3 linked regions of the Tribolium castaneum genome follow. The protein of the gene in region 1 purifies or fractionates together with the protein of each later gene. This does not show direct contact. Links are inferred from orthologs where the notes say so. Each region holds a gene or a part of one and is shown in the gene's direction. Other genes may lie near its edges.

Region 1 (4,326 bases):
TAAAAAGGGCAAAACACCCATTGACTTGTGCACAAAATCGCAAGATAAAATTGTGAAAGATGAACACAACCCGTATCAGCAAATAATTGCAGGCGAATTGAGAATGTGGTTCAACACTTCGCGACTCATTGCCTTTTATCACTTGAATCCAATGAAATCAGACCAAAGGTTTAAAGCCTATGCCATGTTCAAAAAAAGCGACATGCTTTTTAAACAATATGGAAAGAAAACACTTGAAATCGCAGTCAAGGATACGAAATTTGAACCGGTTTTGGATTTTTACGTCTCGCAAAACATTATGGTCTTTAGTCCGCAACCGGAAGTAAAGAAATTGCTAAAAATCACGAAAAGGTTTCCCCAGCTTGTCTTACTAGGTATTGTATAATCCAGTTTTTGTTATTTTTAATTAATTATGCCTTTAGCTGCCATATTTGAGGGCAAATTTGTGAGTAAAGACGAATTAATTGAACTGGAAAAAATACCAAACTTGCAAACAGCTCAAGCAGCTTTGGTCCAAACACTCAACAGTGCAGCCACTACAATACATCAGCAGTTGAACCAACATCAAAGCACCCTTGTTTCACAACTCGAACAAAGAATAAAACAATTAGAATAGCTCAATAAATGTATTTCATAGATCATTTCTTTTTGCTTTTTTACCCTTTTTGCCTTTCCCTTTTTTCTTCCCTTTTTTACGTGGAGCGACGTCTGGTTGTACGCGGTGTTGGGCACATAGGGAAAAATTGGGCAAACACAAGAACCTGACCAAGGGCAGGTTTCTAAGATATAGTTTACAGAAATAAACCATATTGTTCTTAATTTGTTCCAAATTAAACAATTTGATACTATGTGGTGGGAACTAAAAATAATACAGTTTTTACCCACACTTGACCCCCATCACTTACTGGTAGAGAATGACACATTTGCAGTCCTTTAAAATACTCGTACAATTTTTCAGGACCAACATCCAAAACACTGGTGAAAAATAAATGAGTTAGGTAGAACTGTGACAACAAGGCCCCAGTTTGTTCCACGGTGTAACTGGCAGACGTGCAGAATTTAGTCACAGAGTACATCAACTCCCTGAATATGATCCGGGGAAGTCCCTTGGGCTTTTTGTGCAATTTTCCCTCTGCAACGAAAACTTGGCAAATTTTAAACGATTGTAATATTACTACCAATGAAATTCCTCTTGAGTCGTTTACTCTTAATGCCCATCAAGTGGATCACTTCAGGTTTTGTTAAATAATCCCAGGTGCAAATGTGTGGTTCCGCAGTTGGCAGTTTAACTCCTTTACAGGCCAAGTACTGGTCCGTTTGTGAGTCCGAAGTGTCGCTCTGAGTACTGTCGTCCTCTTGGCGCGTTACGAAGTAGTTTTTAATGTCGATTTCGTATTTGTTGGCGTTGAAGGCGATACTGTCAAACGCATTTCCATTCATTTCGTTTCAAAATTCCCGCGTTGGTGAAAATTTATCGATTGGTCACAAATTAGCTAGTGCGCATGCCCACAGTACGAATTTTGAATTCGGTGATGAATCGGTCTTACTCGTTTCACAACTTGTGCAAGATGGCAGATTTTGGGGAAGATGTTGTTATGGACTCTGAAGATTTGATAATTCCAAAAAATCCAGCCGAGTAAGTGCTATTTTACAACAATTAGATTTATTCCTCGATTTTGAGCACTGCTTTCGTGGGGTTTCACGTCGAAATGTCGATGACACGAGTGTCACTGACTCACATTTGTTACTGCAATTTCCCACAATTAATTGCTATTGATTCGGTTATTTCAGTGAACCACTTGGTGCGATTTTAAATTTGATTTGTGCAGTCTTAACGATTTCCGTGGGTTATTTTTAATCTAAGGTCGTACACCTTTGTAATTACTGGTTCACTCCTCCACAGTTCAGTGTTTATATTTGGTCCGGCGTGCAAATTAACAATTTAACCTTTTGTTTGGACAGTTATTTTATTTATAACGTGGATTTTATGGCCTTTGCATTATTTCTCCTAACTTGTCACTGTGACACTTTCGCGGTTTTTACCAATTTGTAACGAGAAAGACCATGGAAGTTGAGGATTGCCACAATATGTGAGTGTTGTTTTTGAATTTGTTTACCTCATAAATGGGCATAAGAACTGTAAGGTTCTCACTTTTAAATTGGATTATCTTTGTTGTTTATTAACGACAAATGTAACCTACCGAAGGAATAAACATTGACCACACGAGTGTTGGTTTTTGATAAGATAAAAACAATGTGATTTATTTACAAACTCTATTTGTGACTATGATTGTGATCAAAGTTGAAGAGAACCCAATTCAAAAAACCCTAATCTGGATGTGTAACGAATTTTTATCCACTAAGGTTTTTATTTCGTCAGAATATTACGACTTTGAGGTCCATGCTATAAGTTTTAAAGGGCTGTTAAAATTTAATCCACCCTAAAATCAGAAATCTAGCAATTTTATTGGTTGTTGCTATAGTAACAACGATTTATGGCCCTTAAATTTTCACAGTTTAGCATGTTAATTGGCTAGTTTGTTCTATATTTTTGCTTAGTCACGAATGAAAATCAGATCAATTCATTGATTAAATATTTACTAAATTAGAAAAACAAAAGTTAATATTTTCTTCTAATGAAGTATCGTTTCAAATCGCATGAAATTAGGGTAATATTGGTAGGTAGGTCATTTACTGGTTCACGTGTAGATATTGTTTCTGCAATATTGTTTGTTGCTCCTTGTCTCGGAGATTAGTGAATTAGCCCAGTTAAATTAAACAAAGAAATTCTTAGAGAGTTGGATTTTTTTAAAGCATTCTTTACACTTGGGTAGAATTATATCAAAAGTTCCCGAGGGTGGGGAGTGAGCTTGAGGAGGGGGAGGGGGTTAAAGAAGTATTTTTTGTTTTTTTTTTGTCTCGGAAACGGTTACTCCTATCAACTTTTATCTTCTTACCAAAATTAAAACTGATAAAATTTCCCATTTAATTTATCTTTAAAAAATATTTTTTTCTCATGTTTCTTATGGAAATCTCCAAGTAATTATTCAATTGGTTGGATTTAAATTAATTGAAAACGAATACCGTACTATTTTTTTGGGTTCAGAAAATCGTACGATTTTGTATCTCGTTTCGTCTCCTAAGTTATAGTTCTTCGTATTTCAGCTTTAACTTTTTTCCTAATGCCTCAAGTCCTTTCTATCCTACTTAATTATTTAAGATATTTTGTATTCAGACCCCGCACTAGGTAAAATAATATTTTATTCTTTGTCTTATGGCAAACTACTACCAAACTAAAACGGACAGAAGAAAATGAGAGAAAAAGTTTACAGTAGAGTAAGCTTTTTATGTTTGTTTGGGTCGTTATTTTTAATTGTTTTTAATAGGTTGTTAACATCGTTAGTTACTCAGCCAAATTCTTATTAAATTTGATAAGTTGGTAGTTATGTGAACTTCCGTTATATCATTGTTAATATTCGTTTTTTCCCCAGTTCTTTCCTATAATTTTCTGTCTTCATAGCGTGATTCACTCCATTAAAAGGCAATTTTCACTCATTCTGGTCACACTTAAGTTGCGTTGTTCCTGTGAAAGCCGTGCTTGTTTCAGGCTTGCCGAATTGAAAAAAGAAAATGGCAATCAATTATACAAAGTCAAGCAATACCGATCTGCCCTCAATCTCTACACCGAAGCCATCGAACTATGCCCCGAAACCGCCGCCTATTACTCGAACCGCTCGGCATGTTACATGATGTTGAACAACTTTCAAGAAGCATTGGAGGATGCACGCAAATCCATAACCATCGATCCCGCATTCAGCAAAGGCTACATTCGAATATTGAAATGCGCTATAGCCCTTGGCGACCTTACAACAGCAGAAAATGCCATCAAACAGATCAATCTGCTTGACAAGAACGCCAACATCAACAATGAAACTCGTTCGTTCGAAAAACTGAGACAGTTCGAAACAGAGGCAGCAAAAGCAATGGAAAAGAAAGACTTCCGAAAAGTTGTTTACTGCATGGATAGGTGTTTGGATGAAGCGCCAACTTGCACACGTTACAAAATAATGAAAGCCGAATGTTTGGCTTTCTTGGGACGATACCAGGAGTCGCAAGAAATCGCCAACACGGCCTTGCATTTGGACAAAACAAACGCTGATGCGATTTACGTACGGGGAATGTGTCTTTATTACGAAGATAATTTGGACAGCGCCTTTAACCACTTCCAGCAAGTCTTGCGACTTGCACCCGACCACAAAAAGGCTATGGACATCTACAAGAGAGCTAAAGAACTCAAAAAGACGAAGGAAAGTGGCAATGAAGCGT
Region 2 (4,132 bases), on another chromosome or scaffold:
TTTTTCACTTTTTATCCACTTTCAAGTTCCAACAATAAACACTTTATACCACGAAAAACTACAGAACCAAAGTCAACGCTAGTATTTACCACCACGTACTTTTAAAGTAATTCTTTCTATTGTAAGTAATTAACACTATACACGCAAAATTGTTGAACAATTCATTAAATGTCAGTTAAATGTGGCATTACGAAAATTTCTTTACTGTTTTCGACATAGTTCAAAAGTCATTATCAGAGGGCGTCTAGTTAATTTTATTTCCGAATAGTTATTAATAATACGAGAGCGAAAACACAGGGCTGTCATTATGCAACGAGCGTATGCGAGTTGCATACCTAGACACCCGAGAACTTTAAGCGTTTTCGTTATGAGTGTTATTCCAAGTTTTGCTGTTGGAACATTTTAGTTTAAAACACGTTGCTATGGGAAACGTGTTTTAAAATAGTATTTATAATCTAGGATTCAGATATTAAAAAGAAGGCTTGAAATGTTACCAACAAAAAAATAATTTTTAGTCTTTTTCCAGTTTGTGGTAGTTTAGAAAATGGAAATCGGTAAATAGATTGATTAATAAGATTATTTTTTTCGTAACTTTTGTTGTCTCGTCCGTTATTCAAACACGTTTATTACAAAGCCAATAAATTTCAATTTCTACTGTTTAATTTTTTATTTATTTTTACTCAAAACATTTTTACTGACACTAAGTTCTTATAAAAAAAAAAATCACTTCTGCTGATTCTGTTCGTAAAAACTGAAAATAAAATTTAAAAAATGCAGTGTCCCGTCCGTTAAACTGGAATAACTGTTGAATTATAATTATTCAATAGCAACATTTGTAATATTTTTCACTTAAACATTCAAAAGTCTCTGACTTTAAAGCCTATCTTCAGCTCAATGGAAATGAATCTATTTGTAACATTTGTTACCTTTTTTTCTAGAAAAAAATTTATGTAAAAATGTAATCTCGAAATATACATTTAACAGACACATGGTAGCAAAGATTTGATATCAATAATGCAAAAAAATTGCACATGACTTTTTTATTTCCAAAAATAATAATTTTTTTTTCGATCCATTGCTTTTATTTCGCTTATTTATTTCTTCTATGTGTTGAGAACAAATTTAGCCTTTAGTGACTTCAAGTTACTTTATTTTTTATCATAAATAAATCTACAAAACAAGGAGTTCTGACAATAATTAAGAAATATACAGTTATAAGAAGCTTAGTGCTTGAGTGCAAACGAAGGAAACAAAGAAGAAAGCACAGACCAAGAAGTTGACACAAGTTTAACTATGATAGAGTTACAAATCGTAACTGCAGCTCCAGACGTTTTAGCGAAAAAATTTAATTCTGAGAAAAATTTGAGATTTGGCCATGAATTCTTTAAAAGAAAACGTTAAACAATCTGAACTAACTGAATATTTTGCTGGCATTAATTACGTAATAAAATTATATACTTAAGTGTAAAAAGTCCTGTATAGCTTGTTATAATTAAAAAGAAAGAAAAAAAAAACTGTGAAACATAAATTTTTATTTAAATACATAAGAGACCTACAACACAAGATAAGAAACATCATCAGTATTATGAGAAAATTCTTCAAAAGTGTATTCATACAGGGTGTTCCGTCTTTATTGTTACAAATTTAAAGAGGTGATAGAACTTTCAATTTTAAGACAAAAGTTTCCTCCAAACATGTATCAAAAAATACGAGTAATTATTGTTGAATATTTCAGAGAAAAAAAACTTTTAAGTGTCCAATATGTGTACAAAAGTAAGAGGTAGGCTATTTCTTTAAGATTTATTAATTTTTTTGTCAAATTTTTTGCTGAAAATTTTTGGGATAATATGGATGATTATTTTTATTTTAGTTGCAAAGAATAGTCTCGCGTTGCAAGTGCGAGTTTTTCTACGCCGGCTACGGCGACATCAGCGTCGACCCGGAGGCGGTGGCCGAGGTGCCGCCGCCGCCACAGGAGGAGGTGGGTCCGTGGGACCGCCGCCAAAACGCCGTCAACGCCTTCACCCTGATGCACCACGACCTGGACGTCTGCACCAACTCGCTCCAATACGCGATGCTGCTCGATATCGTCAATAATTTACTCCTGTATGTGGAACCACACCGGAAGGAAGCTCTTGAGAAGTTGGCCAGAATGCGCTTCCAACAATTGTACAGTCTGGACGACCAGAGAAAACCCATCCAGAACCAACAAACGCTAGTTCGGTCCACTTTTAGCAAATTGCGGCGGCTGGAGAAGGAGACGTATCTGGTGAGCAAGGCTCTGGCCGAGAATCCCAACGATATGGAGCTGGTGCAGGAGATGAATCGGTTGGAGAAGCAAGTCTTCGAGTGCAAAAATCAACTAAATGCGCAGAGTGAGGAGTTGGATATGATGCTGTCGTGTTACAAGGAGACACAGTTGTTGACTAATAGCCGCCTTGCGACCACCCGAAGCGACAAGCCTTTGACTATAGTTAGGGCCAATGAAATCTGCTTCAAACACGCGCAGTGGCGTTTGACCGAAGCTGACGGCCAGATCGGGATCGCAGATCTGGTTCTGAGCAATTTTTTGTACACCAAGAACTCGAAAAATGACGATTCGGTCGAGCACTTGCTCGAGTTGGGTTACCTAAGAATGACCAACTTGTTACCGAATGAAATTTACAAGGAAGTGCTGTGTCCCAGCGAAATCCAGCACGGGATGCCGATCGAATACAAGGTTTAATTTTTTGTGTTTTTTTGGTTGGAGTTGACTATTTTTTCCAGAAAGTTTTGCGCATTTTTTGCCGCGAGAAACCCCCAGTTGGCGGGATTTCCGTCAAGGAACACTTTGAGATTAACTTGGTGCCTCTCACAATCGGGATGACCAAAAAATTTTACAGCACTATGATGAAGTTTTGTTTCCCGGAGCGTGAGAGCGAAAGCGCCGATTATTCGGACCGTGTCAGTGACGACGGTAACGAACCTAAGAAAAAAACCAAGGCGCAGAAACGTAACCGGGATTCGAATTTTTACGTTTTGATTGACGATGTGGAAAAAATGAAGGAACGGGCGGAAAAAAACAAGTTGTTTGTTTACATCAAAATCCCCGAAGTGCCGGTTAAAGTCAGTTATAAGGGGAACAAGGAGAAGAATTTGGAGGATTTGCGTGATGTTTCCCTCGTAATTCCCACTTTGGAGTACCATAATATGACCTGGACGTGGCTGGATTTCCTGATGGCGATTCGGAATGACACGAAACGTGTTATCTTCTCGCAGGTATTTTTTTTTGGTTTCATTTTTACGATTTTGTATTTTTTTGTAGGCAATTAAACAAAAATTACAAATCAAACGAAATACTGGTTCAATGGATGAAAGTTCCTCGCCGCAAGAAGAAGATAAAGCCAGGATGTTGTTTGGTGCAAGACATGTGAGTTTCAAACAAAATTCTTGTGTTTTTTTATTGAATTGTTTCAGGCACCCGAAAATAAAAGTATTAGAAAAGGCGTAGGTGGAGTGTTCAAGTTTGGGAAATGACGAAAATTGAATAAATTTTAGTTAGTTGCGCTAATGAGTGGTTTGTATGTAAGTAAATTATTCTCTTGTACGTAAGTGTGCTTCACAAATATATTTATTTGTTACAACATGCATTTGTTTCTTCTCCCTAAAGCATTTTATGAGAAAGCGCTCTCTGGTGGTCGATTTTATTAAAAAAAAAAAGATTTGTTCTTGTTTTATTCATTGAATTTTCTGAAAAACAGCCAACTGAGATTTTTTTAAAACAAAAAAGTAGGAAAATGATTTGTTTTTAAGCCCATTTTAACTATTAAAGCATCGATTTTTTATGGAATCTTTTGTTTTTTTATTTTAAAAAATGTGAGCCAGATGTTTCGGCTAAAAATATGGAAAATTACCTTGTTTTTCAAGGTTTCTTATAAACTTAAGCCAGCTTATTTAATCAACTTTTGAATTAATTCACAAACTATCCAACTATTTTGTTGTAAATTAGCCGCTATTTAGTTGAAACTACGTTTTTTATTGAATTGTTTGGCTAGTTCACGTTAGCCGGTTAAATGGTTGTAATGTTGGTTGCATACCATTCAAATTAATAATTTTCTTTAATAATATAATAATTTAATTTAGTTACCTAACA
Region 3 (3,651 bases), on another chromosome or scaffold:
TTATTTCAAATGGTATACATAATGTTTTAGCCTACTAGAGACAAACACAAAATTTCCGTACCATCTCAAAACTTCGACGAAACACCATCCGAAATCCTCTTCACCGCCGGCAAAATCTCCTGTTGTCTCTACCAATTCAGCTTTACTCAATCCCATCAAGGCAGCCACCGCACCAAAAAACCCAAATACGCCGACGTAAGTATTCGCAAGTAAAACCCAACCAAATTTCCAGTTTTAACTATATTAGGAAGAGGACCGCAATTACGAAGCTTCCGAAGAAGAAAGCGTCGATGAAGCGATCCGAAGCCACAAAAAGTACACCCCTTTACTTTACTTCTTCGTTTCACAACCAAATATTTACTCGTCGAAGCAGCAATTTGCAAATAACATTCACTTATCGTGCTTCGATGTGGGTATTAAACTCAACGACTCTAAAAACGTCCCAATTTCGTCCGTACCGACAGTGCAGGATTTCCCGGTTGATTTGGTAGTGACACGGTCGGGGCACCCTGATCCCGCTACGGGGATTCCCCCGGCTTTTTTTACCATGAAATATACGAAAGAGCACGGAAAAATGGCAAATTTCGTTATTGACGTTGCAAGGCCCACCAAATTGGCGTGCTCGCCGGCTAAAATTACCTCGCTACTTACCCTAAAACACAAAATTATGGAAAATTTTCCAATGGTGGGTGAGGTGCAGGACGTTGAACCCGATGTAGGTTGGTTTCGACGCATCAGGGATAACTTGAAAGGGATAGACACCGTACAGTTTAAAACCGATCAATTGGTCGTGGTTGTAGAAACCGAACATAATCTAGACGCCACTCTTACGATAAATAAGAGTAAAAATCGCCTCTTTTTGAGTGAAAGACCGGAAAAAATCCAAAGTTTTACGACTTTGGAATGTATGACGTTGACTGTGACAAGTAACAATGTGAAGAGACTGCTCCTCAATCCTTGGACTGTTAGTTTTGAGTTTGGCGCTCTTGTCGAGTCATGGCAACGCGATGATAGTGAGCCCCAAATTCACGTCACTATCGATAGCGATTGTTTATTAGTTGATATAAGTCCTGAACAGATTATTTGCATGGAAAAAATCATGAAAGAACTGTCCGAATTCAATGTTACACCGAGTGTTCCCTCGGAACCTAAAATAATAATCCCGGAAAAAGACCAACACTACAAAGATGATTTAAGGGCCGGTGCATTCCAATTCATTGAAGCCAGTAGTGCCAACAGCGAGGAACTACCACTTCCTTATCAAGTCATGTTTTGGAACTTTAAGGAGACAAGTGCCATGGCTTGGAGGTAATAATAATAGTAATAATAAAAGCTTTTATTAAAGAAAAAAAATGCGAGGAGGCGAAGTCTAGCTAATGCTTTTCTACTTAGCCTCTCTCAAAACACATCTAAACAACAATTTTTTTTAAATACAAACTTAAAAATAACTAAAACTAGAAATAAATGCGAAGAGAAAATACGTAATATAATGTTAATATAAGAAAATAATATAATTTAAAATAATATTAAAAGAAAAGTAGATGATACCTATGTGTTATGAATATTATTGAAAAAATTAAAAAGATAATAACAATAAAATAATACAACATGAAAAACAAAACCAGCACAAGAATAATTACTGAAGTAATAAACAATTTAACCTTATCTGATGTATTTAAAAGTTGACTGGCTTTGACTTCAACTGGTTTTCCATATTATTATACAGGGTGACCCAGGGATGCGTAATCGGTCTTACTTTTTTGTTACTTGAAATATTGCCATGTCGTTTTCGTTATCCGATAAATCGACTTAAAGTTTGATCCACAAACTAAAAATATTTTTATTATACACAGGATGTTGAATACAGGATGGTAAACCAAAGTTGTGTTTTTTAAATGGAACAGCCTATATATTTTGCATAATTACTAATTAGATTCTATGTAAAAATTAATGTACTGTGTGTAAACCATTATGGGTCTATCTCTTTTCGTTTCGGTATTATTCAACTTTTTTTTAATAAAAAAGACCAATTTTTAAAAAATCGCTGCGAAGTCACCTATGAATATTTTCCGACAAATTTGCAACAGAAAAATTCAGAATACCTTGCAGCTTTAGGAAATAGTCGACTTTTTCTTGAAACACGGAAATAATGTACAGGGTGTGCCAAATGCAAAAAGTTGAATAAAAATGTTTAATGATAACGATTTTGTTATCTAAAATATGGTATTTGTACTGAAACCTTTTCTAAACCCCGGTTTTAAAGACGGAAGAATATTATGAAATTATATAAAAGGATAAATTTGTTTGAAAATTCCTTTTTCTAATATTTTAGAAAGACTTGAAATAATATTAATAGGCCTGAGGTCACTATAATTTTGTGGTTTACTTTTGGTAACGGCTTCGTTAGAGTGGTTTTCCAAGGATTTGGAAAAATACCCAGACTCTAAACAAAAGTTTATTATGTGAGTTACGTATTTATCAATAACAGGACTGCAGATCTTTAGCACTTTGGCGTTTATTCTATCAAAACCTGTCGAATTCGATTGAAGCTTAATGATTATATCGTGAATTCCAATGGTAGGCAGCTGAAAAGAAAATTAATTTAAAATCTTTATTGTATATATTTTGTAAACAATAATTAAATGTTTCAGGAGGAGAATTAAAAACAAATAAAAAATCCTCATTGATTTTATTTATATCATTTAAATGCGAGGGAATATGGGTGTTTTCACGAGATTTTAAATCATTTTTTTAATGTTTTCCACAACATTTGATTGTTATTCAGAAAAGCACTTTTCCTTTTTTAATTTCAGGTATCCCCAACCCCGGGCTTTGACCAAAGTCCGGATTTTTCCGGTCCCACTTGAGATTTCCATCGATCCGGAACCGACCCAAGTGACTTGTAGTCTCCAGTATTGGTCCGACTATCACTGCAGTTACATCCCCTATGCCCAGTTCAGTCTCTCGGAAAGTGAAGTTTGCTACCTTGATTTACCCAAAAGTGAGCCACAGAGGGCGGTAGCATACATCTGGCGGGTTGTTTTGACCAGTTTGGACTCAAACGGGGCGAAAATCAACCGAAGTGTGATCTCGCCACGCGCCCTAGCGGCCTGCATGCGCATTGACTCCTACTTCAATAAAGCCATAGTGCCTAACTTCACGACAGTGTTGTATGTTTCTAAACTAGAACTCTCATTGGTTAATCACTTTGACAAGGATAAATCAGTGGTGCCAATCACTTTGCGGCATTTCACCCCAGATCAAGCCATTCCAGCCAACCATACGTTCCTGAAGGTCACTTCGACCAATTTGAGGCTGCACATGGCCCACTGGGACTCGGACATGCTCTATTGCGACCTGACCTCACATTTGAGGTGCTCATCTATTGATTATACTTTTCTCACCGAACAAACGCTAATCGATCAGTTTACGTTCAAAGTTGAGTTGAATTTGGCCAAGAAATTGACTTTGGGGCTGGTTTCGAACCCGATACGGGTTATTTTCGGACCAACGATTGCGCACACTTTGACGGTGAATTCGCAATTGTGGGCACAGAAATCGCTCGAGTCGGATCACAATATGGTGATTTTTACTCGATATGTCGTTTGTAACGATACAAATATGAATCTGAGGTTTGGACAAGTCGGAACC

What was found. The genes of interacting proteins can lie anywhere in the genome.
Region 2: the proteins of Tpr2 (region 1) and hob purify together in Homo sapiens (co-immunoprecipitation; 3 studies listed by BioGRID and IntAct, counting the BioPlex papers as one, with this or other methods). This does not show direct contact. The link is inferred for Tribolium castaneum from reciprocal best matches to the Homo sapiens genes DNAJC7 and BLTP2.
Region 3: the proteins of Tpr2 (region 1) and Vps13B purify together in Homo sapiens (co-immunoprecipitation; 3 studies listed by BioGRID and IntAct, counting the BioPlex papers as one, with this or other methods). This does not show direct contact. The link is inferred for Tribolium castaneum from reciprocal best matches to the Homo sapiens genes DNAJC7 and VPS13B.

What each region holds. Positions count from the first base shown.
Region 1 is NC_087398.1:7,331,320-7,335,645, reverse strand, and holds the start of Tpr2 (dnaJ homolog subfamily C member 7), read left to right. Parts: upstream 1-1,502; coding exon 1,503-1,636; intron 1,637-1,952; exon of another isoform or gene 1,953-2,064; coding exon of another isoform or gene 2,065-2,090; intron 2,091-3,607; coding exon 3,608-4,326. Other genes in the region: mRpL10 (large ribosomal subunit protein uL10m), read left to right, coding at 1-374, 423-616; uncharacterized protein LOC103313090, read right to left, coding at 632-859, 906-1,132, 1,179-1,440. UniProt on the Homo sapiens protein: Acts as a co-chaperone regulating the molecular chaperones HSP70 and HSP90 in folding of steroid receptors, such as the glucocorticoid receptor and the progesterone receptor.
Region 2 is NC_087399.1:1,812,024-1,816,155, forward strand, and holds the end of hob (protein hobbit), read left to right. Parts: intron 1-1,870; coding exon 1,871-2,719; intron 2,720-2,766; coding exon 2,767-3,258; intron 3,259-3,304; coding exon 3,305-3,409; intron 3,410-3,456; coding exon 3,457-3,516; 3' UTR 3,517-3,625; downstream 3,626-4,132. UniProt on the Homo sapiens protein: Tube-forming lipid transport protein which binds to phosphatidylinositols and affects phosphatidylinositol-4,5-bisphosphate (PtdIns-4,5-P2) distribution.
Region 3 is NC_087395.1:19,613,352-19,617,002, forward strand, and holds part of Vps13B (intermembrane lipid transfer protein VPS13B), read left to right. Parts: intron 1-30; coding exon 31-195; intron 196-247; coding exon 248-1,308; intron 1,309-2,813; coding exon 2,814-3,651. UniProt on the Homo sapiens protein: Mediates the transfer of lipids between membranes at organelle contact sites. Binds phosphatidylinositol 3-phosphate. Functions as a tethering factor in the slow endocytic recycling pathway, to assist traffic between early and recycling endosomes.